Linked DNA regions of Rattus norvegicus. The protein of the gene in region 4 binds, or shares a complex with, the protein of the main gene of each other region. Links are inferred from orthologs where the notes say so. Each region holds a gene or a part of one and is shown on either strand. Other genes may lie near its edges. The genes, in order: Anp32e, Mbtd1, Ruvbl2, Trrap, Meaf6, Taf4 and Smarca4.

What was found.
Region 1: Trrap (region 4) and Anp32e share a complex: the UniProt entries of both Homo sapiens proteins name them as parts of the SWR1-like complex. The link is inferred for Rattus norvegicus from reciprocal best matches to the Homo sapiens genes TRRAP and ANP32E.
Region 2: Trrap (region 4) and Mbtd1 share a complex: the UniProt entries of both Homo sapiens proteins name them as parts of the nuA4 histone acetyltransferase complex. The link is inferred for Rattus norvegicus from reciprocal best matches to the Homo sapiens genes TRRAP and MBTD1.
Region 3: Trrap (region 4) and Ruvbl2 share a complex: the UniProt entries of both Homo sapiens proteins name them as parts of the SWR1-like complex. The link is inferred for Rattus norvegicus from reciprocal best matches to the Homo sapiens genes TRRAP and RUVBL2.
Region 5: Trrap (region 4) and Meaf6 share a complex: the UniProt entries of both Homo sapiens proteins name them as parts of the nuA4 histone acetyltransferase complex. The link is inferred for Rattus norvegicus from reciprocal best matches to the Homo sapiens genes TRRAP and MEAF6.
Region 6: Trrap (region 4) and Taf4 share a complex: the UniProt entries of both Homo sapiens proteins name them as parts of the TFTC-HAT complex. The link is inferred for Rattus norvegicus from reciprocal best matches to the Homo sapiens genes TRRAP and TAF4.
Region 7: Trrap (region 4) and Smarca4 share a complex: the UniProt entries of both Homo sapiens proteins name them as parts of the BAF53 complex. The link is inferred for Rattus norvegicus from reciprocal best matches to the Homo sapiens genes TRRAP and SMARCA4.

What each region holds. Positions count from the first base shown.
Region 1 is NC_086020.1:186,174,158-186,176,723, forward strand, and holds the end of Anp32e (acidic leucine-rich nuclear phosphoprotein 32 family member E), read left to right. Parts: intron 1-806; coding exon 807-861; intron 862-1,666; coding exon 1,667-1,737; 3' UTR 1,738-2,066; downstream 2,067-2,566. UniProt on the Homo sapiens protein: Histone chaperone that specifically mediates the genome-wide removal of histone H2A.Z/H2AZ1 from the nucleosome: removes H2A.Z/H2AZ1 from its normal sites of deposition, especially from enhancer and insulator regions.
Region 2 is NC_086028.1:79,377,759-79,381,258, forward strand, and holds part of Mbtd1 (MBT domain-containing protein 1), read left to right. Parts: intron 1-771; coding exon 772-854; intron 855-1,132; coding exon 1,133-1,367; intron 1,368-2,004; coding exon 2,005-2,082; intron 2,083-3,500. UniProt on the Homo sapiens protein: Chromatin reader component of the NuA4 histone acetyltransferase complex, a multiprotein complex involved in transcriptional activation of select genes principally by acetylation of nucleosomal histones H4 and H2A.
Region 3 is NC_086019.1:105,037,987-105,041,720, forward strand, and holds the end of Ruvbl2 (ruvB-like 2), read right to left. Parts: coding exon 3,671-3,734; intron 3,531-3,670; coding exon 3,407-3,530; intron 3,081-3,406; coding exon 2,986-3,080; intron 2,902-2,985; coding exon 2,783-2,901; intron 1,407-2,782; coding exon 1,287-1,406; intron 1,123-1,286; coding exon 993-1,122; intron 813-992; coding exon 698-812; coding exon of another isoform or gene 611-697; coding exon 585-610; 3' UTR 501-584; downstream 1-500. Other genes in the region: Lhb (lutropin subunit beta isoform 1 precursor), read left to right, coding at 138-380. UniProt on the Homo sapiens protein: Possesses single-stranded DNA-stimulated ATPase and ATP-dependent DNA helicase (5' to 3') activity; hexamerization is thought to be critical for ATP hydrolysis and adjacent subunits in the ring-like structure contribute to the ATPase activity.
Region 4 is NC_086030.1:14,920,908-14,924,407, forward strand, and holds part of Trrap (transformation/transcription domain-associated protein), read right to left. Parts: intron 1,911-3,500; coding exon 1,772-1,910; intron 891-1,771; coding exon 812-890; intron 1-811. UniProt on the Homo sapiens protein: Adapter protein, which is found in various multiprotein chromatin complexes with histone acetyltransferase activity (HAT), which gives a specific tag for epigenetic transcription activation.
Region 5 is NC_086023.1:142,628,011-142,632,235, forward strand, and holds the start of Meaf6 (chromatin modification-related protein MEAF6), read left to right. Parts: upstream 1-1,425; coding exon 1,426-1,515; intron 1,516-2,457; coding exon 2,458-2,573; intron 2,574-4,225.
Region 6 is NC_086021.1:187,458,243-187,462,419, reverse strand, and holds the start of Taf4 (transcription initiation factor TFIID subunit 4), read left to right. Parts: upstream 1-1,377; 5' UTR 1,378-1,434; coding exon 1,435-2,662; intron 2,663-4,177. UniProt on the Homo sapiens protein: The TFIID basal transcription factor complex plays a major role in the initiation of RNA polymerase II (Pol II)-dependent transcription.
Region 7 is NC_086026.1:28,442,319-28,446,618, forward strand, and holds the start of Smarca4 (transcription activator BRG1), read left to right. Parts: upstream 1-1,500; 5' UTR 1,501-1,794; intron 1,795-1,933; exon of another isoform or gene 1,934-2,099; intron 2,100-2,196; exon of another isoform or gene 2,197-4,300. UniProt on the Homo sapiens protein: ATPase involved in transcriptional activation and repression of select genes by chromatin remodeling (alteration of DNA-nucleosome topology).

The DNA.
Region 1 (2,566 bases), on a different chromosome or scaffold from region 4:
CATAGTCATAAAAGTGATCAAGGGGCTATCTAGCAAAGATCTTGATTCAAGTCAAAGGATCCATTAAAAAAAAAATCTGGTGGGTGTCTTTAATCACAGCCAGTGCTCCACAGAGAAACCAAGTCTTCAGAAACGACACAGAAGCTGCATAATGTCGTATGATCATAAGCTCAGCCATGGAGAAGTGAAGACAGGTGGATGCCTGGGTTCTGGGAGTAAAGATGTGCTAAGTGTGCCCTCACGGTGGTGCCCCATGTTACCTGGAGCATGGCAGGTCTAGAGAAATACATTTTTATAGTCAACATATAACCAGAACCATATTTGATGTTAGGGTTCAGACCATCTGTGCCTCAGTCTTTAGAGTGGCCTATTTTAAAGTGGTAAAGCCTGTTTTGCCATGGTAACTCGTGGGCGGATGTGGTGTATGCCTGCAATCCCGGCACTTGGAAGGCAGAGCCGGTTCATTCAGGAGTTAGCTTGGGCTGGATCAAGAGATCCTGTGTCAAGCAAACAAGCAGTTGTACAAACTGTGACCGCAACTCCCTCATTGGTGCTGTTGCATTTCCAGTACTCACCAGCACGCTGGTACCACGCACAGAGAGCATCTGCATGTTGGAGAACGTTCTCTTGAACTGTGGTAGTCCAAGGCACAGCCTGTGTTTATAAAAGTCTGGGTGATTTGTTATCTTCAAGAGCAAAGGAGGCAGAAACTGTCCTTTGAGACACAGCTAAACTGTGATTTCATTGCCCTTGTTAAACAGTAGCAGTCCATGTAATGTTTATTCATTCTCACATTGACTTTGAAGGATGAAGAAGACGATGATGATTACGTTGATGAAGGGGAGGAAGAGGAAGAAGAGGGTGAGTTGTATTCTCCATAAGCACATTCTGAATCTAAAGATAACAGATACTGAGTCTGGTGGGGATTGCCCTGGCCCCTGAGCCTTTAATTTTGTTTATCATAATATGCCTAGACATGTAGAGAAGCATTTTGAAAGAGTAATTTAATTCGGCCAAAACAACAACAAAAACAATTTGTAACCTGTACTTAAAGACAGAAACAAGGGGCTGGAAAGATGACTCAGTGGTTAAGAGTACTGGCTGCTCTTCCCGAGGCCCCGAGTTCAGTTCCCAGCAACCACGTGGAAGGATGCAAGGGAAAATCAGGCATGGTCACCCACGCCTTTGATCTCAGCATTTGGGAGGCAGAGGCAGCGGAATCTCTGATTTTGAGGACAGCAAGGGTTATGCAGAGAAATCCTCTTGAAACACACACAGACCAAGAGAAATGAAGTGAAAGTTTATTTGCACCCTGGAATCTGACTTGCAGAGCATAAAGCCCCAGCACAGAGAAGAATGGCTGGACACCGATGTCCCTTTAGTGTCCTCTTTACCTAGTCCTAAAGAATCGTGTCTACCTAAAGGCGTCACATCGCCAAGCACTTGGTCTCTTGATTGCCCTGGCAGTTGTGGTTGGTTTGTGAGCATCTCTTTTTTGTAGCGTCAGGTTCTCTGAAGTCCCTTATATTCTGAAATTGGAAGAAATTCCAGAGTGGAAACAGCTTATACCTTCTCATGACATTCATGTTTTACTAAGATTAAAAGCTTTGTAAAATAACAAAAACTCAATTGTTAAAATTGAGTGTCTTATATATTTCCATTTTAGAAGAAGAGGGTCCTCGGGGAGAGAAAAGAAAGCGAGATGCTGAAGATGACGGGGAGGAAGATGATGATTAGACCCTCCAAGGAGAGGCTGCCTGACACTCCCGGTCGTGCAGTAGGGCGGTCACATTGTCTGTGTTTCTTTATGTATGATAGCTGTCCCAGTAGGAGATGATGTGTAACTTTTTATAGGAAAAGTGTGGTTTTACTATTTTGGCCTTACCATTCCGGATAAGATTTGCTAGTCTGTTAATCATAATGTACTTAGAAAAGAATTCTCCTTCATCTTCCCATGGTGAAATTCTCTAGCATTGTATTTAGATTCTGGATTTTTATAATTCATGCTTAATGTATTAGACATTTTTAGCCCATAATTAAAACATGGTTGCTTTTACACAGGTGTAGTTTGGTGCATTTCATTCATAATGTTTTAAAGTTATTTATAAATTAACGAATTACACTTAGCTGTAATATGAATTGGCAGTAGTCTTGAATTATAAAGCTGGATTTTGTTTTGTTTTTTTAGAGGCGATCCAGAGATCATCAGCGTGAAGGCAGTTTTTGGGGTGGGGCGAGGGTATCTGAGGACGTTCCTGTCACAGTTTGGAAATTAGAGGCAGAATCAGGGTTCTCTCTTCAGAAGGCAGGTCATGGGCTCAGTCCTGCGGAGCCATAGATAGTTCAGGGCTCTGTCTTTTCTCAGTCCAGACTTGCTGTGGAGCCCCCTCTGTGGGTGACTGAGCGGGCTGTGGGGTTCAGGTGTGCATCCCCTCCCAGCTGCTCCTCTTCTGTCACCTTCATTGCTTCATTCCTGTCCGCATCCAACAGACAGCTGGCAAAGCTGCAGACACCCCTGGGCTTTCACCTGTACCTCAGCCATCTCTCTCAGTTTCGAGCAAGTGAA
Region 2 (3,500 bases), on a different chromosome or scaffold from region 4:
TCTATATTTTTAGCTGGTCTGGAACTTACTATATAAACCATAGCTATCTTCCTGCCTCTGCCTCCAGAGTGTTCCATTAAAGGTGTGACAACTACACCCAGCTAACCATTCTTTGTCCTTGCAACTCTCATGGATTGACCAGTGACCTTTAATTTCAGTGCCTTTACCTTGGGTTTTTCTCTAAGATGGGGTTAAAGCAAAGATTTGTTGAAAGTATAATTCAGCTACTTTAGTTTCCTGAACAAAGAAAGAGTATTAAGTGTTAGACTGTTCTAAACCTAGTGCTGCAAGAAGTCGTAGCTCTCGGTGGTAGGGGCGCTTGCCTAGCATGAGGCCATCGATAGATCCCCAGTCTCACACACGCACGCACACGCGCGCGCTGAAGTCTGTCCTTGGAGTAAACAAGAGTCGCTTTTGCATTAAGATAAGGAGACATATACGTGTGTCTGCACAGGGGCTTCTTTGTAATATGGTACCGGAAGCTCTGAACACCACCAAGTAACGTAGGACATCCTCAATCCCATACTTGGAGGTGGAGACAAAAGGACTTGGGAGAAGCCGTTTACCTTCTACTGCATAGCGTGTTTGAGACTGGCCTGAGCTATTTGAGACCCCAATCTCAAAAATAATATATTTTTTAAAAAAAAAAATAGAATGAGAAGAAATTACCATTACCACCTAAAATCTGAAATTTCATGTACTGAGTTACTGACATTTTAAGGTTATGCTAATTTTAAATGTACTGTTACCTAAACCGGTTGTATTTTTTAGGTTACACAAAACTTCCTTTTAAATGGTTTGACTACCTCAGGGAAACCGGCTCCATTGCAGCGCCAGTAAAACTGTTTAATAAGGTAAGGTTGAGTGGGGCCTGGCCGTGACGTACGAGTGCAGTTACTCTTGGGTTGAACTTCTTCGGCTTATATTAGAATTTCCTAATGAAAATCAACAAAGGAAACTAAGTGTTTTCTTTAGAGAAGCAAGTCTTTCTTTCTTTTTTAAGTGTAAAGGAGGGTGCTTGTGCCGTATGGTGGCACAGCTGCGGAACTGTTGTGAGCTTTGGGAAATTACTTCAGATGTCTGGTTTGTGTCCTTCTGAGCATCGCACTGATACTGGATTTCTCTGTGTTAGGATGTTCCAAATCACGGATTCCGCGTGGGAATGAAATTAGAAGCTGTAGATCTCATGGAACCACGTTTAATATGTGTGGCCACAGTTACACGAATTATTCATCGTCTCTTGAGGATACATTTTGATGGATGGGAAGAAGAATATGACCAGTGGGTAGACTGTGAGTCCCCTGACCTCTATCCTGTAGGGTGGTGCCAGTTAACTGGATATCAACTACAGCCTCCAGCATCACAGTGTAAGTTACTGTACAGAGAACATGTTCTTTTCTAAAAACCAACTAATCCCCCAGAGGGCTGTCCCTTATAAATCACCTCGTAAGCTCACAGCACAAGAATATATCAATGTCTGATGAGTTGCCAGGTAAAATACTAAGACCCAATACTATCACAGAATTAGACTGTGTGTGCCACGGCAGTGTGAACTCCATATCAGTTACATAGCAGTAAATTGAGAAAACCACAAGTCACCAAATTAAACTACACTGTGGTTGAACTGCATACTGTAGGCTGGAAATGCATTGTTCATAAGTGCTGTTGCGTAAATAGTGAGGTACATGAGGGTTTTTTGGTTTTTTGTTTTTGTTTTTTTTTTTTTTTTTTTAGGTTTTGGTTTTTTGAGTCAGGGTTTCTCTGTGTAGCCCTGGCTGTCCTGGAGCTCATTCTGTAGACCAGGCTGATCACAAACTCAGAGATCCGCCTGTCTCTGCCTTGGGAGTGCTGGGATTAAAAGCATGCTCTGCCTCCACCAGACAAGGCTCATTCATGGTTTTGTAAGACCAAATACACCCTTTAAAAGCATTCTTAAGGGATGACGATCTTCGTAAAGAATTGTCTAGCCATTCTCTGTTACCAATTTTCCCTTTTATTTTTCAGCATCAAGAGAAAGCCAGTCAGCTTCTTCAAAACAGAAGAAAAAGGCTAAGTCCCAGCAGTACAAAGGACATAAGAAAAGTGGGTCACCATGCGTCTGCATACATTGTCTAACTGTTAAGCAATTAAGGTCACAGTACTCTTGCACAGAAAATTACATCCCTGTGAGAGCTGATGTTTGTTCATTATGTATTATGCTTAAAGGTGCAGTATGACATAAAAGGCAAACCTTCTTGATGTAAGAAACAGTTTTAATTAACAGGAGAAACAATCAGGTATTCTTTAGCTGTGTTTCAAGCACACAGCTAAAGAATAGAGCCTTATAGTGATTCTTGAAATAATTATAAACCTACTTAAAGTTAATTCCTTTTTTAAAACTTTATTTAATGAAGCAAAAAAAAGCAGTGTTTGCTTACAGTAGCTATCATATCAACTCTTATCTGGAATGATAATCCTGAGAAATTCACGTTTATTAAGAAGGACTGCTGATGAGATAGCTCAGGTAAAATGAAAAAGTGGAGGCTTAATGTGGTGGCACACTCCTTTGGTCCCAACATTCAGATTATAGAAACCAGCCTGGTCTACAGAGCAAATTACAGAACAGCCAGAACTACACAGAGAATAAACCTGTCTCAAAAATAAATCCAGTAAAGTGAAGAATGATAAGTCTCCAAATGAACACATTCCCACATACAACGGTATATCACAGCAGACACAGCAGAGTGAGAAAAAGATCTGTGGCTGGAGAGGTGGCTCAGCAGTTAATAGCACTGTCTTGCTTTTCCAGAGGTCCTGAGTTCAGGACCCAGCAACCACATGGTAGCTTACAACCGTCTAAAATGGGGTCTGATAGCCTCTGACATGCAGGCATTCGTGCAGGCAGATATATATATAGAGAGAGAGATATAGATATAGATATAGATCTTTTTTTTTAAGCCTATCAGCTTCAACTCATGGTGACCTGCATAGGCATGCATAGCACTTTCCTCTGTGGGCAAAACCTCCCACAGACCCAAGATTACTTTGCCCATCAGGAGCTTGATAATACAGTTGTTCACCTACACGTGCTTGGGGAGTACTGCTAGACCATTCACAATCAGAGTGTGGTCTGCGGATTCAAACACGATTCCGGAGAATTCACATGTGAATTTCATGTCCCTAAATTAACTAAGGCAGGTGTGTCTACTCAACTTTCTGTAAAGAGAATTTAACAGGCTTACTTAAACTGTCTTACTTTGTGTTGGACAAGAGCTTGAGTAAGGTTTCATAAGTATCTAAGACATTGAAGTCAAACAGTGGTTTTAGCCAAGCATGGAGACAACATGGCTGTAATCCCAGCGTTCAACAAGCAGAGGAGAAAGATTAGGAATTCAATGTTATTCTCAATTCCAAAGCAAGTTCAAGGCTCACCTGGGCTACATGAGAACCTTAAGGTTGGGAAGGAGAGTGAGGGGTTTCACACGCATAAGTGTGTAGGGTTTGTCTGCCTATTAACATAA
Region 3 (3,734 bases), on a different chromosome or scaffold from region 4:
CACCTGGGCAGGGATCACAGCTACTGTGGGGGCAGGACCAGGTGGGCATTCTGCCTAGAATGGCTGCAGGGGGTGGGGAGGGGGCGCAGCACAGGGGAGGGACACTCAGATGAGGACTTTCTCCACCCTGCACTCAGGTTCGAGTACTGCCAGCTGCCTTGCCTCCCGTGCCTCAGCCAGTGTGCACCTACCGTGAGCTGCGCTTCGCCTCTGTCCGCCTCCCTGGCTGCCCACCTGGTGTAGACCCCATAGTCTCCTTTCCTGTGGCCCTCAGCTGCCGCTGTGGGCCCTGCCGTCTCAGTAGCTCTGACTGTGGGGGTCCCAGGACTCAACCAATGACCTGTGACCTTCCCCACCTCCCCGGCCTTCTCCTCTTCTGATGCCCACCCACTAACTCCCCATTCTTCTGGAGCCAGCAGGTGTTCTAACCATCCCTCCCAATAAAGGCTTTACAACTGCACTCCGATGTCCTTTTGTGTGATCTGAGGATACAGCAGAACTCCAGTTTTCAATAATTTTATACAAAGTCACAGTGTTAGAACTTGTAGAAAACAGGCTGGGAAGGGTTGGGGTGCAGTGTCAGCTCAGGAGGTGTCCATTGTTTCACCTTCTGCAGAGAGGGGAAGCCAAATGTGAGGGAGCTCCTGGGTGCTCCCATGCAGCCCCTCCCACAGTGGCAGCAGCCTGGGATACTCACTGAGCTCATTGAAGAGGAAGGCGTCCTGGTATTCCTTCATGTACTGTGTGGAGCGGGATTCATCCAGGAAGAGGGAGTATACGCGCTTGATGTCGTCCACCTGCACCTCCGTGCCCTGAGAGCAGGTGGGGCTCAGCTGATGTCAGCACGGGGCCACCCCCACCACTAGGTTTTTTTCTCTAAAATGCCCGGGCACCGGCTGTGGTTCTTAGTCCCCACTAAATATCCATGTACCATGGCTCAAGGGCTACCCCAGGGCCACCCCTCAGTCCTCCAGGCTAACTCGCTGGCTGACCTTTCGTTTCCGGCACACCAGGCTGGCCGCTGTGATGAGCTGGATGGCGTAGCGCAGGGAGGTCTCGAGCCCAATGCGGGTCAGCACTGTGTAGGCGTCCTCACTCATCTCCACATCTTCCTCCTCACAGCTGTGGGAAGGCAGGCCAAAACGGCAGGCATATCACCCACCCATCCCATAATATGCATGGATACTGGGGTCTCGGAACCACGGATGGTGAGGCTAAAAGAGCCACGGGCACAGGAGGGCCTCCCACCCCATCTTTCCCGACTCAGTGTGGGGCAGATGCCACACCGGATACGTAGGATCTGTTTGGTGTCCTTCTCACTGTAGGGCGATGTTGACACAATGAGCAGCCGGTCTAGCAGGTCAATGGGGATGCCGTGGGGACTTTGGTAGCTGGTGCCTCGGATCCTGGGGGTCAGGGAAAACTGTTAATGGATGCTTTTCAAAAACATACGTGCCACCATAGCCCACTTGGGAACTCAGTAACTGTGAGCACTGGCTCTCATCCCCAGTAACACACTTCTCGGCAGCTGTGCACACTAGCGGCTGTCCTGTGCCCTGCTGCCCTGGCAAACCCAGTTCCTGGTGAGCAATGGGACCCATGGCAGTTTGTTCCAGGCATGGGAGCTTAGCCATCGATATGAGAGTACTGTTCTCCAGGGGCTGGCTCAGGACAGCTGCCAGATCTAACCTACCACTCATGGACTTTCAGGGACTGGGGAATTGCAGTGAACATCAACTAGCAAAGGGGACCTTAGGGCTGCCTCCCCTCCCCCCTGCTACCTTCACATCTATGGCCTTGGGCAAGCTGCTCAGCTTTGCTGATCTACTCTGTGAAGTGGGAGTAGTGGGGAGAATGAAGTGCAGGCAAGGTAGCCAGGTCCCAGCCTCTTAGGGCTGTGTGCCATCCGCCTTCACCACAGCTACACCTAACTGCAGTTGCAGGGGGCCTGAAAACTTGTGTCATCTGTGGGTACCACATGCATGTGTACACACACACAGACACACACATAAAAGTAAGTCAGAGAAGAAAGAGGGGCTGGAGGGATGGTTAGAATACATACTGTTCTTACAGAGGAGCCCAGGGAGAGTCCCAGGACCTGCACCAGGCAGCTCACAACTGCTTCTAAGTCTAGCTGCAGGGGACCTGCCATACTATTTTGGATTCTGCCCACACCTACATTCATACCTGCATATACTGCCTCCCCCACATTCAAACAACAACAACAACAACAACAACAACAACAACAACAACAAAGACGCCATGCTAAAAACACGAGACAAGGTGATGTGCTTGATGAAGTCATGAGCCATCGTCAGGAAAAGTCTGGCTATCCAAACCAGTTTGTATACTCTCTTATCTACAAAGGGTCTCATGAAGCCCAGGTTGACCTAGAACTGAGTCCTTTCTCAGCCTCCATATTACCAGGACTGTGGTTGGAGCTGACATGCCCAGTGTCCACAGTGTCTTTAGGTCAATACATGTGGTCTGTGACGATTAAGTGGCGGGGTCTGAGTGACGGACTGATCACAGCAGTTTGTGACATATCTAATAGATAGCCCCGTGCTCAGCATAGGGTAAACTTCCCAGGGCCCTTTGGGTGCCTGCTCCAACAAGTTTAAATCCAACTTGAAGAGATTTTCTATCTGTCCAGGATTGTGAGGACCACACTGGAGGCAAGCTGAGTAAGGAGAGGAACTCAGCAGATGGTCATTCACCTTGAGGCCACCATCAACCCCTGGCCCAGAGTGCCCTTGCTGCAGAGGCCTCTAAAGCTGCTCACCGGGTGATGCCTCGGTTGGTGGCCATGATAAGAACAGGCGCCATGTCACTCTCCAGGGCCCGGTTTAGGAAAGAGAAACTCTCAATGTCCAGCATGTGGACCTCATCGATGAACAGCACCTGGAAGCCATTAGGGCACAGATCAAGCTCTCTCCACCTGGTACCTCAGGGCTAACCATACCCTCCTGGGCTGCGGCCACTCACCCCAGGGATGATCTCCGCTTTGCCCTCCTCCCTCCACTCTGCCACCTTGGCATTGATCTGTTCTCGGACTTCTGACTTGATCTCCCCTGTGTCTCCTGCCAGAGATGGGGGTGTCAGTTAGAATTAGAGATTGAGCCCAGGACCGGGGTGGGTGAAGAGAGAGACAGAGGAGCACTGGGGAGGAGGGCTCTGGGCTGCAGCAGCAGGGCCAGAAAGGACAGAGGGAGTGACCCGAGGGAGGACTCGAGGGCAGTGTAGGGAAGGACACACTCAGACGGGGAACAGAGACAAGCAGCAAGTCTGTAAAGAAAGCTAACAGCGCCAAGAAAGAGGCAGAAAAGCTGGGGGTGGGGGTGAGCCACGCTGAGGGAGACAAAGGATGTACCAGAGCATTCAAGGTGTTGGGGGAAGGGCAGCTGACCTGAGAAGAGAGCCAAGAAGCCCTGAGTGCGGGAGTTGATGACGTCAATCTCATGGAGGGACACGGTGTGCACCACCTCCTTGCGTTTTTGCAGCTCTCCGTCTGGGCACTGCACAAACTTGGTCTACAGGGTCAACGGCAGGTGTGAGGGCAGCCAGGACACAGCCTGGAGCCCCACACTGGGAGGTAACCCAGCATCCAACCCCATGACATAACAGAAGATGGAGAAACACTCCAGTGCTGGGTTGGGGATGAGCCAAGCACCTGGGAGCCCATGGCATCATAGTCTCGGGCACGTGTGAAAGAGCGGCCCAGCTTGGAAATCTTG
Region 4 (3,500 bases):
CCCAAGACTGCCCACCTAGGGATGGTGCCACCCACAGTGGGCTGGGCTCTCCTGTTAATTAGCAATGAAGAATATACCCTATAGATGTGACCAGAGGCCAATCCGACAATTCTTCATTGAGTTTCCTTCTTGTCAGGTGACTTTCTAGATCAGCTACTGACAGTAGCTTCTTGGCAAGAGTATTTTCTTTTAAGGCAGAAGTTCTCAACCTGTGGGTCATGACCCCTTCAGGGTTAAGAACCCTTGCTGTAGATTATGTCAAGTCAACAGTAATAAACTAACCAGGAAAATACCTAGCAAACACCAGCCGAAACACCAGCCAGAGCACAAATGATCATCAGCTTGTTCACACGCTAAATGGTGTTTGCTACTCAAAATTTACAATGTACCATGCATGGCAGTGCAACACATAGGAGGCAGAGGCAGGTGGATCTGTGAGTTCCAGGTCACCCACAGCTACCTAGTGAGACTACCTCACATGTTAGCTAATAGGTTAATTAATGTTCTATATGTTATGACCACTCTATGCATAAACAATACTGTCTGGGTTATTAAATTGTGCAGGCTGATCATTGACCTCTATACCTTTTCAGGAGTGCATGAGCACACTTAACCAAAAAATTCCAAAAATGTTAAAAATTTGTTCTTTTTTTATTAAAGCAACCTAAGGACTTTCAAACTTACTGGCCATTCTAAATCCAGGAAGTGAGGAGAGCCCAGCAGACCTGCACTTAATTAGAGTCCTAGTACAGGTGATCCAGTCCCTAGCAATCGCACCAAGCAGGCCTGTGTCCGTCTAGCAAGGCTGTACCTGAGCGTCTCCCGAGCCGTGTACCCAGAGCCTATCAGGATAGATTCATCAAACAGCTTGTCCATGCAGGGGATGAACTCTAGGAAACAGAAGAACATTAAAGACCTCACAAGCCTTCCCCAGTGCTCAGGGCAGAGAAAAGACAGCAAAGACCCTGTGAGGTGAGATGCTGCTTCTACTGGGCCACACAAGCCGCCTGCCCACGAAGACAGTCCGGGTAATGTTCAGTGTTAGAGAACTGACCAAGACTGACTAGAGAGATGGCACAATCGTACCAAAGGCAGAAGAGAACTGACCTCTTGGATATGGATGACAAGCCCACGGGACAGTTAGATTCTGGAACAAACCTGACATACAGCCAGCTTAGTTCTAAAGTCAAGTACATCTCAGGCCTCTGGCCTCCTGCGGGCACCTGAACTCGTGTGCAAACCCTCACCCCAGCACACGCACAGACAATTAATAAAAATATGTCTTCAAAGAGGGCTGGCGGGGTATGATGGCCCACACCTTTAGTATCTTAGCACTCAGAAGGCAGATCTCAGAGTTTGAGCCAGCCTGGTCTACAGATGGCTCCAGAACAACCAGGGCTACACAGAGAAAACCTGTCTTGAAAACATAAGTGGGCTAGAGAGTTGGCTCAGTAAAGACTTAGTTCGATTCCCAACACCCACATGACAGCTCTGAAGTGTCTCAAACTCCAGTCTCGGGGATCTGACACCCTCTTCTGGTCTCTGCAGACAAAAGGCACATGTGTGGTGCACAGTTGTACAAAGACACAAGTAAAACACACACATCCATACACGAGCGAGCAAACAAATGAAAATTAAAAATTGAAGACCCAAGGCTGCAATAATGAAGGACCAGACATGCTAAGACCCTGTAGAAATTCTAGGAAGTCAGCAAGCCTTGCTCCAAAGATGGCCCAGGCTACACAGGCCTTGGGAGAAAAGGCGGCCTTACGGTTTCTTAGCTCCGTGGTGAGGATGTGCTTGGCAGCGATGAGAAGCTCCTTCCGGAGGTGTGCGGTCTCCGCTGGACAGTTGGAAAGCAGCTGTAGCATGCCTTTCACCATCTGCTGAGAATACTTTGTCACCAGCTCCTGTCACAGCAAGGAAGACCACAGTCACACTGTGTCTGAGAGGCTGCAGAGACACCCAAGCTCTTTATGCAGCACCGAGCCTAAGTGAGCACCGCCAGAAAGGTTTTAGTGTGTACGTGCGTGTGCAGTCATGCAGCAGTCATTCTGAAAGGGAAGTGTGCCCACAGGGACAGATGGCCTCCCACGTAGACTAAGTGTGGGCACGACACTCTTATTGTTCTATTGCTTTACAAATTTCAACACTGAATTTGCATTACCTCCTTGGAAGAAAGAAAATAAATGCTTAAAGCGCCTGTTTAAAAAAAATATTCAGGGGTTGGGGATTTAGCTCAGTGGTAGAGCGCTTGCCTAGCAAACGCAAGGCCCTGGGTTCGGTCCCCAGCTCCGAAAGAAAAAAAAAAAAAAGAAAGAAAGTAAAAAAAATATTCAGTGCTAGAAAGACAGCTTGGTTGGGGCTGGAGAGATGGCTCAGTGGTTAAGAATACCGACTGCCCTTCCAGAGGTCCTGAGTTCAATTCCCAGCACCCACATGGTGGCTCACAACCATCTGTAATGAGAGCTCATGCCTTCTTCTGGTATATCTGAGACAGTGACAGGGCTCACATACCTTTAAAGAGACAGCTTGGTGGTTAAGGGTACTTGTTGCTCTTCCAGAGGGGACCCCCACCCTGTCCTTCACCTTCCAGTGCCCATGACAGGTGGTTCACAACCACCTGTAACTCCAGATCCATAAGATCCAATGCCCTTTTCTGGCTTCCATAGGCAAGTGTTCGTTCACATGCACAAGTGCGCAGGTATACACACACACACACACACACACACACACACACACACACACACACACACCTCTACACACCTTTTTAAAATAAGTAAATGCCAGGCATAATAGCTTACACCTTTAAATCCATCACTCAGGAGGCAGAGGCAGGAAGCATCCTGGTCTACCTAGCAAGTTCCAGGCCAGCCATGGCTACACAGTAACAGCTTGTCTCAAAAACAAACAAACAAACAAACAAACAAACAAACCCATCCATCCATCCATCCATCCATCCACCCTCCCTCCCTCCCTCCCTCCCTCCCTCCCTCCCTCCCTCCCTCCCTCTACTTAGTCGCCCCACTAACGTGAGCTGAGCATGGTGACTTCTGAGCAGCTCTAAACAACCTCTTCCTGACTCAAACACCAAGGCCCAAAAACTCCACTCATGATGGCAAATGCCCACGAGCCAGCACTCTGGAAGCTCATGGGCCAAAGGTCAGCCTGGACCACACAGTGAGACTTCATCTCATAAAGAGAGTCTGCAGAAGACTAACCGATCAATGAGCTCTGGGTTTGACTTAAGAGACCTGCCTCAGAAAGAGAAGGCAAAGAGCAAAGGAGGAAGATTCCCTGCACACATGAGCCTTCACTTCTTCTTTTTTTTTTTTTTTTTTTTCTATTTTTCGGAGCTGGGGACCGAACCCAGGGCCTTGCGCTTGCTAGGCAAGCGCTCTACCACTGAGCTAACTCCCCAACCCCGTGCCTTCACTTCTAACACACATGCACCACATACTCACACACATGCACGCACACACGCACACACAAATACGTGA
Region 5 (4,225 bases), on a different chromosome or scaffold from region 4:
GATCTGATGTCTTCTGGTTTTCTTGGGAATTACATGCATATGTACACACAGACATACATGCAGGCAAAACACTCATATACATAAAAATAAAATTTTCCAGGATCTGATCTTTTTTTTTTTTTAAGCCCAGGCTAGCCTCAAATTCTGTTTAGTTGAGTCTGGCCTTGATTTTTTTTTTCCCCCTCAAAACGGTCTCACTCTACAGCTCTGGCTATCCTGGCTGTCTTCGAAATCACAGAGATCTGTCTGCCCTTTGTCTCCTGAGTGCTGGGAATAAAGGCATGTGCCACCATGCCTGGCCCTGGGAGGTTCTTATGTGAGCCAGGATGGCACGAAAGGAAGGGGTGCTAGATTCGAATCCAGGGATTTGTGCAGGCTTAGGCTTAGGCAGACAGTTTACCAACTGGGGTCTAGTTCTATCTCCAGCCATTGACTTTTTTTTTTTTTTTTTTTTTTTTTGTGAGAGACTGGGTCTTATGTAGCCCAGGCTAGCCCACACACTATGTAGTTCCTTGACTTTCCTAAGCCTCTTACCTCTGTCTTTTGGGTGCTAGAATTATAGGTATGCACTATTGGAGGGGAACATGAGAGAAGTGGAGAGATTTGTGTGAGGGAAAATTAGGAAAGAGGATTCGAAGAAAACTGAGAATTTCTCAGACCTGTTGAGCAATAGCCACCTAGGGCATAGAAACTCAAGGACATCCACACATGGGGCAAAGAATGCCACCTACCCTCCTAGTGAAGTTGCAGAGCACTGAGAAATGCAGAGAGGGGCTAAGGGTGTAGCGGTAGAGTGCTTGCTTCGTCTGTCCTGAGTTCCATCCCCAGCACCAATTAACAGTGGGCAAGCTCAACACGTGCAAACCAGCAGTGGGGAGGCAGAGGCAGGACGATAAACTCAAGGTCTGTGTTTCTGTTCAATACTAGCCTAGATACAGTTCTGGATCTGAAGATAAAAGCAAATTCTTTCATACTCCTTCCCCTCCGTCAAACCGTGTACAACAGGAGATCTGCTTGCCTGTGCTAAACCCAGGAAAAGGTTGGTTTTGGGATCTTCTCTGCAGCCCGGATGGTGGGGCGGGACCTTGCTCAGGTTTACCACCTGCAGTTGGCTGGTGTGGCAGGGACATCGGCGGGGAGACACAAGGGACATTTAACAGGCCTATGCTGCAGCTGGGTTCTCGATGCAGTGAACGTCTGTGGGTGTCTGTTAAGCTCAGAGGCCCGCAGCGGAGGAGCAAGGAATGTCCCACACGAACCAGTACCACTCCGCGCCGGCTTTCGCGCGCTGAGCCTGCCAGCTTCCCCGGAAGCCGCGCGCGCAGGCGCGATATGGGGGCGCGCCCCCTGGCGGCCGGCGGCGGCAGTGCGCAGGGTCCGCCTACTGGTCGCGCGCCGCCGCCTCCGCCGCCGCTTGAGCCCAACATGGCGATGCACAACAAGACGGCGCCGCCGCAGATCCCAGACACCCGGCGGGAGCTGGCCGAGCTGGTGAAGCGGAAGCAGGAGCTGGCGGTGAGTGGCCGAGGCCTGGACGCCGTCCCCGCATGGCCTCGCAGGCAGCTCAGGGAGCCAGGACGGCGGGCAGCCGGGGTCCGGGCGCTCTAGGCGGCCGGGCGCGGCGCGGTTCCCTGCGGCGGCGCGGTTCCCGGCCTGCGCTCTGTGGGGCGGGGCGGGGCGGTGAGGGCGCGGGAAGGGCGAGAGGCAGGAGGCGGGGACGACGCTCAGGTCGGGTTAGCGGGTGGGAAGGAGGCGGCTAGACCCTGGCCTGGAGAAGATGCACGATGGATTCTATAGGCGGCGCGTTTCAATGGCCGGGGAATGGGGTGTGTTTGAGGATGCCAAGGAAAGAGGCTGGCGGGAGACGCAGAACGCAGCCTAGGGAATTTGGACTGGTGACGCGCACCAGGAGCCGCCGGCACCCTGCTGGCTGAGCCCTCCAGGCTCCCGCCTTTTGCAACGAGCATCCGGGAGGCAAAGCTCACCTGAAGCTGCCCTTCCAGGTTTCCATAGCAACCGGCATCCACTGCGGGCGGCCTTTCCAGAGCTAGCAAGGAGGAAGCAGTTGATGTAGAAAAGATGCTTTAGAAAAGCTGTTCACCCTTCTCGCTGCTGGTGGCAACACATTTAGTGAGTGAGAATGGAGACAGCTCACGATCTGTCTCATCCCTGCTCATGACAGCTAGGTTTTGCCTCTGAAGTAGGTGCAAAATCTTGCATGTGCGTGCATTTTCTGAAGATAGACTACACACTCCATTCTATTTATAAAGGGGTCCATCACCCGCACTCTTCCACAAAAAAAAAAAAAAAAAAAACAAAAAACCAAAAACCAAAACAAAACAAAAAAAACAAAAACAAAAAAACCCGGTTCATTGTGGGTAAGCTTGACTTTACAAGTCCATATTGGGATTTCCGTTTGCTTAATGCTTGCTTTTCCCTGCCCCTGTTTTCACCTAGGAAACGCTTGCAAACTTGGAGAGACAGATCTATGCTTTTGAAGGAAGCTACCTGGAAGACACTCAGATGTATGGCAATATTATCCGTGGCTGGGATCGGTATTTGACAAATCAAAAGTGAGTGTCAAAATCTAGTAGTATCTACCCGTTTTATCCTCTGCTAATATTTACCTGTAGGTTTTTTTTTTTTTTTGTTTTGTTTTGTTTTAAAATATGGTCTTACTATGTAGCCTTGGCCAGCCTGGAACTCACTAAGTAGACCAAGCTGGCCTCAGATTCACAGATTACATAGCTCCTTCTCCCTCTAACTCCTGACTGATGGATTTAAAGGTATGGACTGTCATGTAGAGCTTGGGGTGTTTGCTTTTGGTATTTACTCTGCAATGAGATGATAAAGCTGTAGTGTGGAATGAGGTCGAAGCTTGCAGTTGTGCTCTGACTGTCTCATAGAGAAACCATATTTGTGATTAAAGAAAACAGGGCCCAGGGTACAGGGGTGTGTAGGTGTAAATGAAATACAGCGTGTGACTTAACTGTCTTCCACATGTTAATCAACCATGATATCCAATTACCATCTTTGTCATATCTCTAAGCTAATTGTACCACTATTGACCTGGTAATGTGATTCTATAAGAAAATAACCCGTAACTGGGGAGAATTTTTCAAATCTGTAGAAAACTTGAGATGAGATAGCATATGACTAGTCATTTTCCCACATATTCATGAGTTGCTAATTTACTGTGGGTGCACACTCTCTCTCCAGTGTATGAAGACATCAGTGTATGAAGACATCCGTGCATGCTTAAGAACCTTTTGTTTTGAAATAATTGCAGATTGGGATAGGAAGCTGCCAAAACAGTACACAGGGCTTGTGTGTTCTTACAGTTTTCTCTGATGGTTACATTTTACATAACTATAGAACATCGTCAAAATCAGGGAACCACAATTGGCTACTGCGTACGCACAGGTGTGTGGCATTTTATCATATGTGTAGAACTACGAGATGTAAAACTAGGCCCAGGAGACGTTGCTCAGTGAATAAAAGAGCCCAGTGCACAAGCCTGATGACCAGAGCTCAGTTTCCAGTACCCGTGTTAAAAAGGTGCACATCTGGCAGCAGGAGAGATGGCTCAGCGGTTAAGAGCACACCCTGCTCCAGCAGAGGACAAGAGTTCGATTCCCAGCACCCCTGTCAGGTGCCTTACAACTACCTGTAACTCCATCCCCAGGGGATCAGACTCTGTCTCCTGTGCTTACAGGCACTCCCCCACCATTTAACACACATGTAAATGCACATCTGGAATTTTAGCACACTGTGGTGGGAGGTGGGGACAGGAAAATGACTTGGAAGCTTGCAGGTCAGCTACTCAGAAGTATGCAGTGCTGTCCAAATAACAAGGTAGAAAGCAGGGGCCAGCGGTGGAGAGCTGCCCTCCGGTTAGTGTGCGTATAAAGATGCAGACCCATTCTGCCATCACGTATCTCCTCCATGTTCCTCCTCTGTGGTTGCATTTCTGTTTCCCTGTGCTTTCCCTCCCTGCTAACCATCAAAGACTTAGACGCTTACACTACCAATCTTTGCTTCTACGTACATTAGCAGTTACTTCTTGAAAACGGCAAGACATCTCGGCATGTAATATATAGCTATAAAATTGACACCTATAGCTTAAAAATTGACACCGATTCCTTTAGATCCTCTCGGTTGGCCCCACAATGCTTTGCTACTCCTTTTTTTTTTTTTTGTGATTCTTTTTTTCGGAGCTGGGGAC
Region 6 (4,177 bases), on a different chromosome or scaffold from region 4:
TGCTTTCTCATTGTCTCCTCCTTTTTACTGGCTTTCCAAACCTGGAGGCTGATGTTCAAGAACAAAATTTCTGTTGTCTAAGGGTTCCCTAGCACACTTTGCAAGTGAGGGCACTGTGTTTTGTTTTGTTTTGTTTTTTTGGGGGTGGGTGGGGGTGGGGGTTTCAACGTGTACAGTTCCTTAGATAGACTATTGCTTAGAGAACAGCTGGGGTAGGGTGGGGTTTGTTGTATAGCAGTTATAACTCACTTAGTTTAAAAGGCTGGGACAGGATCAGCACACAGGCTGAGAGTTAGAGAGCAGCCTGCTTTAGAGAGGAAGAGTCCTCACCTCACCTTTTTGATATAAGTGTCTCATGAGACCCCAAGCTGGCCTCCAACTAAATATATAACCAAGGTTGAACTCCTTATTAATCTGCCTTCACTTTCCAAGTGCTGGGATGGTGTGTATAGGTAGTACGGGCTGGTAGGAAACGCCTCTTTCAAGGCACGAAAGAAAAAAAAATTACAATGTCACATTCCTCATTCCCCAGTGCTGGATCTGTGCGGACTGTGGCAAGTCTCTTCAGAAGTGACGATGATTCTGGGAGGGTCAGTTGCAGTGAGGTCCCAACAAGGAGCTTTGCCATCTGGAATTTGTTTTTGGGGCCTTTTCAAAAAATGGAAAGACGAAATCATAGCAACGTTCAATAAGACGGCCTTTTGGTTAAGAAAACACCCAGGAAGAAAGGGGCGAAATGGTAACGAAAACGTTCCCACAAAGTGCTTGCAAGCATCAGTTTAGAGGATTTACTACCCCCTCCCCCACGAGAAAAGTAAATAAAGAACAAATCAGCTTCCGGATGTCCAGCTTCGGTGTGCACGGCCCTCTTACTAACCGCTGTAAGTCAGAGGAGCTGACCCGTGGCGTCCGTGGCGTCCTCTGCGCACCTCTCCGCCCCGAAAGCGTTTTCTTGCCAGGACTCCTGCTCCTCACTGACCGCCGGGGCCCCGGGAGCGCCCGCGCAGCTGTCGCCGCCCGCCCTGGCCGCAGCCATTTTGGAAGGGTGCAGACAAAGGGCGAACCCCGCAGCCGGCTGCAGCGACCCACCCGGCACCGAGCGCCGCCGCTCTCCCCGCCCGGCTGCCATTCCCACCAGCGCTCTAACAGCCGACCAGCACCCAACACCTCGCCTGCTCCCCGGCCTCTGGCGCTCGCAGCCATTGGCCGCGTCTTTTAAGAGCCGGCCGCAGCCAATCAGAGGCCACAGAGGCGCGGGCGGGGGCGGTGCGTGTCGGAGCGCCTGCGCACTAGGCCGCCCCTCCCCCCTCCCTGCGCGCCGCGCCCCCGCCCGCCCCGCGCACCGCCCCCCGCCCGCCCCGCGCCCCGCTGGAACCTCCTCCTGCCCAGGCGCGCTCGGCCGAGCGGCGGCGGCGGCGGCGGCGAGGAGGAAAGATGGCGGCGGGCTCGGATCTGCTGGACGAGGTCTTCTTCAACAGCGAGGTGGACGAGAAAGTGGTGAGCGATCTGGTGGGCTCGCTCGAGTCGCAGCTGGCGGCCAGCGCGGCCCACCACCACCACCTCGCGCCGCGCACGCCCGAGCTGCGGGCCGCGGCCGCCGGCGCGCTCGGGAACCATGTTGTGAGCGGCAGCCCGGCCGGAGCCGCGGGCGCAGGGCCGGCCGCCTCCGCCGAGGGCGCGCCCGCAGCGGCGCCGGAGCCGCCCCCCGCAGGTAGAGCGCGGCCGGCGGGTGGGGGCCCGCGGCGCCCGGGCTCCAGCTCACCGCGCCGCTTGCTTGTCCCCGCAGGGCCCGCGCCGGCGCCCGCCAAGCTGAGGCCGCCGCCCGAGGCCAGCGCGGGGCCCTGCCCCGTCGCCGCCGCCGCCGCCACCGCTGCCGCCGCCGCGGGGCCGGATCCCGCCGCCGCCGCCCCGCCCGCCGGCCCCGGCGCCTCCAAGCCCGGCCCGCCTGGCCCGCCCGGCCCCGGCGCCGCGCAAACTTTGAATGGGAGCGCCGCGCCGCCCACCGCGCCGCACGCCGCACCTGCTGTCAGCCCGGTCAACAACGGGCCCGCGCCGCCGCCCGCCGCCGGCTCTGTCATCCAGGCGGCCCCCGCGCCCGCCGCGCCCTCGCCGCCCGCCGCGCCCGCGCCCGCCGCGCCCCCGCCTCCCGCGCCTCCAGCGCCCGTCGCGCCAGCCCGGCCGCCCGGGCACCCCGCCGCGCCCGCGCCCCCCGTGTCACCCGCTGCCGCCGCCGCCGCCGCCGCCGCCGCCGCGCAGAACGGGGCCGCTCCTGCCCCCGCCGCGGCCTCCGGGGGCGCCGCGGGGTTGGGCCAGCCGGGCGCGGGCGCGCAGGGGGCTAAGGCCGAGGCGCCCAAGCCCGGACCGGGGCCCGGGCCGGGGCCGGCGGCGGCGGCGGCGGCGGCGGCGGGGGGGGTCGCGGGCGGGGGCGCGGCGGGCGGTGTGCTGCTCGGGCCCGCCATGCCGGGCGCGCTGCCGGGGCCTGCTCCCGGGACCCCCGCGGGGCTGGCGAAGGGCGCGGCCGCAGCGACCCCCAGCCTGCCTCGGACGCCGGCGGCCACCACCGGCGCTATCCGGGCCACGCTGACGCCCACCGTGTTGGCCCCGCGCCTGCCGCAGCCGCCGCAGAACCCGACCAACATCCAGAACTTCCAGCTGCCCCCAGGTGAGTGGCAGCGCGCGGCGGGAGGCGAGGGCGGGTGCACCAGGCGGCCCTGGCGTTCCAGGAAGTTCTGGGCTGCATTCTGGGGCTGTGTCCTGGCAGGGTGGCACGCGAAGCCGAGGGGCGGCCTCTGCCCAGGTGACCTGACAGTTTTGAGGGCTTCCCAGTCCTGGAGCTCCAGAGCCCTCAGGGAACTCTGGTGTCCCGTTGGGGTGCTATGGGCTACCACTGTGTGGTCGAGGGGCCCTTCTTTCTCCTTCCTCAGGTGAGGTCAAGAGAGGGCGAACTAACTCAGGGGCAGGATGGTGAAGTCTGTGTGGAAGGCGTGGGCTTCCCTGTTGTCAGGGAAGCTGGTTAGGGACTCCATGCAGGGAGCAGGGGTTTAGTGGTCATCGGTGCCTGAAAGAGGACCCTGAGTGTTTTTGTTTTGCCATCCCTGGAGGTCAGCAGGACACTCACTGCGCAGGGGTCTGCGGATGCAGGAGATCATGGAGATGTGGATGCTGGGGCTCAGAAGCTGTCTCAGAGCTTGCAGATTCCATGTAGGCTCTGACTCTGTTGTCCTCGAATTCCTCAGGGCCCTTGGGTTTGATGAGTGACTCCTTTCCCCGCTTGTAGACTGCTTTTGTTTGAGAGTCCTCTGCAGAAGTGTTCCCACTGAACCCTGGGCCGGAGCGAGCACTGAGCGCTCCGCTCCTCCCGTGTTACACAGTGACATGTGCAAGCAGTAGTAGCAGCGCCGCCCGCCCACCGCGGTGGCAGTAGTAGAGAATTAGAAAACATGCTGCTACTGTGTCCCCCTGCTTTCTGAAAAGTGGTTTGGGTCACGTTGAAAGAGCTAAAGCATCTTTAGAATTCAGTTTTGCTGAGGTCAGTGAGGACCAGGAAGGCTCCGAAAAGGTTCAGAGATACTTGCCCTATCTATGGGGATACAGGACCCAGAATAGTTAGTGAGGTTGCAGGGGCTGCCATGCTCTGAGGAGGCGCTGGGTGTGACATAAGGCCTAGGAGCTGCAGATGTCTCTTGCCACACATCTGGGGCAGGGTGTGTGTGTGTGTGTGTGTGTGTGTGTGTGTGTGTGTGCGCGTGCGTGTGTGTGATTGAAAGGTCTTGTTCATTATCTTCACTCTGACCTTTGGGTGGAAAATATGGCTGATGTTATAGTTTAAGATTCATTCTGTGCTTGTAGTCTATTATTCGAATAGACTCCCCAGTGCAAGGATGTGCCCATGTTGTCCTTTTATCAGGAAAGCTGTCGTAGTCAGGTGCCATGACATCCTTCCATAGCGTCTTGACTTTCCCTGGTTCCATTGCCTTTGAGTGCCGTACAAGTAAAGTCCATCTCCCCGGGAGAAATGACAATGCCATTTGCAAAGGGCATTGGCTGCCGTCTCCATCACAACTGCCTCCTTTTTCAGGTCAGGTTCAGGGTTGGTGTTTGAGCAGAAGGTAACTCCTTGGGGAAAAAGTAAATAGGTCCATCATTCGCACTTCTCTACGTCTGCATCAGCCCCATG
Region 7 (4,300 bases), on a different chromosome or scaffold from region 4:
CAGACTTGGGGGGCAGAGGCAGGTAGGTCTCAGTTTGAGTTCATCCTGGTCTCAAGATCCAGTTCCAGGTCAGCCAAAGCAACACAGACAAACTCTGTCCTGAAAAACAAAAGCAAAAAACCCCCCCAACCAACCAAAAATACCATGTGTTTGCCAGTGTTGATAGCTTGGGTCTGTTTTCCTAGCATTTTGGAGGCAGTGGCAGGGGGATCACTGCCAGCTATTTAATGGCCTGAAACATTCTTTGTTCTACTTTGTGACAGAAAACTGCTTTTTGTTTCTTTGTTTAAAAGTCTCACTTTGTATCCATGGCTGCCCTGAAACCTTACTATGTAGAAGACCAAGCTGGATTGGTACATTCATGCAGCACTCAGGAAGGAAGAAGGAAGATCTCTGAGTTCGAGGCCAGTCTAGTCTTGAGAGCAAGTGCCAGGTCTTAAAGAAACTTGGTCTTGGGGGCTGGAGAGATGGCTCAGTGGTTAAGAGCCCCGACTGCTCTTCCAGAGGTCCTGAGTTCAATTCCCAGCAACCACATGGTGCCTCACAACCATCTGTAAAGAGATCCGATGCCCTCTTCTGGTGTATCTGAAGACAGCTACAGTGTACTTATACATAATAAATGAATAAATCTTAAACAAACAAACAAACAAACAAAACCCCCCAGAGATCCACCTGCTTCTGCCTCCAGAACCCTGCCCCGCTACCACCAAATACTTTTTTTTCTTTTTTTTTTTTTGGAGCTGGGGACCGAACCCAGGACCTAGCAAGCGCTCTACCACTGAGCTAAATCCCCAACCACCACCAAATACTTTTAAAACCAACCAGAGGCCTGGAATCTCCACATTTGGACAGAATTATACGCTCATTTCTCCAAAGCTAATGGCTTTCTTCGAAATCATAAGGAAAATTGTGACCATTGCTGTTTCTACCTCACACCCTGTGCTTTTACTTATTCATCTGGTTTATGAACCAGAGGATGGCTAGTAGCCGATGGCAGCTCAATAAATATTTGGAAAGCTAATTACTGGGCCTCAACAGGTTCTGCAGGAAATGTGGCCAGGACAGAGCCTTGCAGAGCAGGCAGGGCCGTGCCAGAGCCAGGATCAAAGCGTTTCCCAGGCCTGCCCTTACCCCCGCGTGGGTTCTGTCCCGTCCTTGGGCAGTCTGGCCACCTCTCGGCTTCACTTTCCTCCCAGGGTGCTCATTTCCGAGCCTAAGAACTTCCCTTTCATCATTACTATCTCCCATCTGGACGACCCAGTACCCTCCCCCAACATCTAAGCGTCGCCGCAGTGCCGCCACCTCTGCGCATGCCCTTCGGCTTGAGGCCCAATTTCGTGTCTTGAACATAAGTGTGCGCTTGCGCAGAGCCGCCCAGAGCCCCCCAATATGGGCGGTGCACCAGGATCTCGTGCGGCCTCTGGACCCGCCCATCTTCTCACTACCTCAAAGGACCAGTGCGCATGCGCACAACGAATGGCTGAGCATGCGCACAGAGAGCGGAAGGGTGGGCTGGCGCGCGCACGAGGCCGGACGGGCAGCGGAAGCAGGGGAAGTGGACTGGGTAGAAAGGGAGGCGGGGGCGCGCATAGCGGGCGCGCGGGCTGCGTGTGTGCTGGGGGGGGCGGCCAGCCGAAGCCGAGCGGGCACGCGCGCGAGGCTTTCCCACTAGCTTGGCAGCGGCGGCGACGGCTTCTTTGTTTCGTGAGGAGAAGCGAGACGCCCACTCTGTCCCCGACCCCTCGTGGAGGGTTGGGGGCGGCGCCAGGAAGGTTACGGCGCCGGTACCTCCAGGTAAGGAATGGAGACTCCCGGGCGGAACGAGACTCCCGGGGCTTGGGGAAGACGGTTTGAATGAAGCCGAGGCGCCGGGAGGGGGAGGGGGCAGCTGGGCGACCAGAGCGGGGTCGGGGTACGGCGGCGCCTGAGGGTCAAGAAGCCTTGCGCGCGCTGCTCAGGCCGCAGTGCAGCGAGACCGCGGCTGCTTCCAGGCTCTGTGGCCGGCGAGGCGGGTGACTCTGGCCTGTGTGAAGGCCGCGCGCGCGTTCTCGTGGGGTCTTGGGACAAAGCTCCTTCCTTTTGGCGTTCCAGAGATCCAGGTCCCCCCCACTTTAATTTCTGTGAATCTTAACTTTGAACAGTGGCTAGGTGTCTTGGGCTTCTCTGGCCTCGTTTGTGCGATTCTAATGCCCTGTGGTCGGGCGTCGGGAGCAACATTTTACCTCAGATATTGATGCCCTGTGTAGCTTGGGCACAGTCATGAGCCCTCTTCGGTCCTCAGACCTCACTTTTTTTTTTTTTTTACTTTTTGATAAATTTCATTATTGCAGATTTTAAATTTCTTCCGTGGCTTCAAAATGTTTGCCTAAAAAGTGAAAGATGCCTGGGAACGTTTGCTCACGGCCGCATTGTTTTTCTTTTGAGTCTCTTGGCTCTTCCCAGTTTTTCAGATAGGGCTTTTTATTTTAAAACCTCGAAGGCAATTGTTTTGTGCGGGTCGGAGGGGCATCTTCTTGATCCTCTTTACCTCCAGTGACTCCTCAGGAACTGGAAACAAATTTTTTGTTTGAATTGACAGACAGGCTTTGAGTTTGATGCCCAGCGTTGTCTGTCAGCTAGCTGTGTGGCCTTAGGCGAAATCGCTAAATCTCTCCAAACCTCTTGGTTTCCTCCTTTGTACAAGGGAATCACTTTCACTGATAGGATTGGGAAAAAATAGCTCCTGCATCATCATCATCATTCTGATTTTGAAGACAGGATCTTATAACCAAGGCTGCCCTCCACCTTCTTATGTAGACCAGGCTGGGCTTGAATTGCTCATCCTCATCTTCCTGCCTCCATCCACCTCCCAAGTGCTGGGATAGCATATTCAGCCAGGCTTCCTGTACTGTTATTGACTGGTCCAGCAGATAGTTGAATTCCTACTTTGTGTTACATGTCTTAGTAGGGGAATGGGCTGTAATGGAACCATTACTCCTTGGCCTGCATGAGTATTGGTTCATAAAGAAGTACTTGGTTTGTTTTGACCTCCTCCCCTCCCCCTTTCTGGTCTCACTGTGTAGCTTTGGTTGTCCTGAAACTCTGTTATCAGGCTGGCCTCAAACTCACACAGCTCTGCCTGCCTCTGCCCTCTGAGTGCTGGGATTAAACTCTTGCTTAGCCATGCCGTTGGGCCCATTTGTGTTTTGTTTTGTTTTTTAATTAAATAGATTTTATTTGTTTATTTTATGAGTCAGGGTTTCTCTGTGTAGCCCTGACTCTCCTGGTACTTGCTTTGTAGACCAGGCTGGCTTCTAGCTGAACTCAGAGATCTCTCTGCCTCTGCCTCCGCCTCCGGGAGTGCTGGGATTCATTAAAGTGTTGCAGTTCCTTATTTATTTGTGTGTGGAGGTCAGAGAACAACTTTCAGGGGTCAGTTCTCCCCTCTATCATGTGGGTTCCTGGGATTGAACTCAGGTGGTCAGTTTTCTGTGGGGTACTTTACCTGTTGATTCGTTTCTCCTGCCTAAGCTCTAAGTGTGTTGAATTTTTGTGGTGCTGATCAAAGTTGATCCTGTACATGCTAGGGAAATGTTCTACCACAAGCCAGTACCCAAGCATGGTTTTGATCTTTTTATTTTTATGAATGTGGGATATTTTTGTTGTTGTTTGTTCATTTTGGGTGTTGTTGGGCCTGGAATCCATGGCCTTCTGCATGTTAGACATGATATATTCTCCCCAATCATTTAGCCTCACAACCTATCATGTGACAGGACAGAGTGGTTGCCTGAGGGAGCAGTGGTGGGCATAAGTCTAGAAGCTGCATGGAGGAGGACCCTTCATTTACAATTAGGGAAGATGTGTCTCCCCACCCCACACGCTGAGAATGGAATGGTGCCTGCAGAACTGTTGCTCTGTCTGTCTGGTCTGCAACAGTGCAGTTGGAGCAGGCAGTAGTGAGACAGGACAGGAGGGTCCTGGGGAGGATGAACTTGGGCGATTGGTACAAGATCCAAAGCAATAAATATTTGTTGCTGCTGTTTGGCCTTGAACTTTCCAGGCCATTGCTCTTCTAGCCCCAGATGTCACTGCTTTGAAAGTGATGAAGTCACTGGTGAAGTCTGGGGTCCTGGTTTGGTGGTTTGTTTGTGGCTGGATGTGAAAGGTGGTTTTTTTTTTTTTTTTTTTTTTTTGAACTTAAAAATTTTTGTTTAATTTTGTGTGATATATGGAGGTCAGAGGACAACTTTCAGGAGTGGATTTTCTCCTACCACGTGTGTCCTGGAGATTGAATTGCAGGTCATCATATTGGTAGCAGATG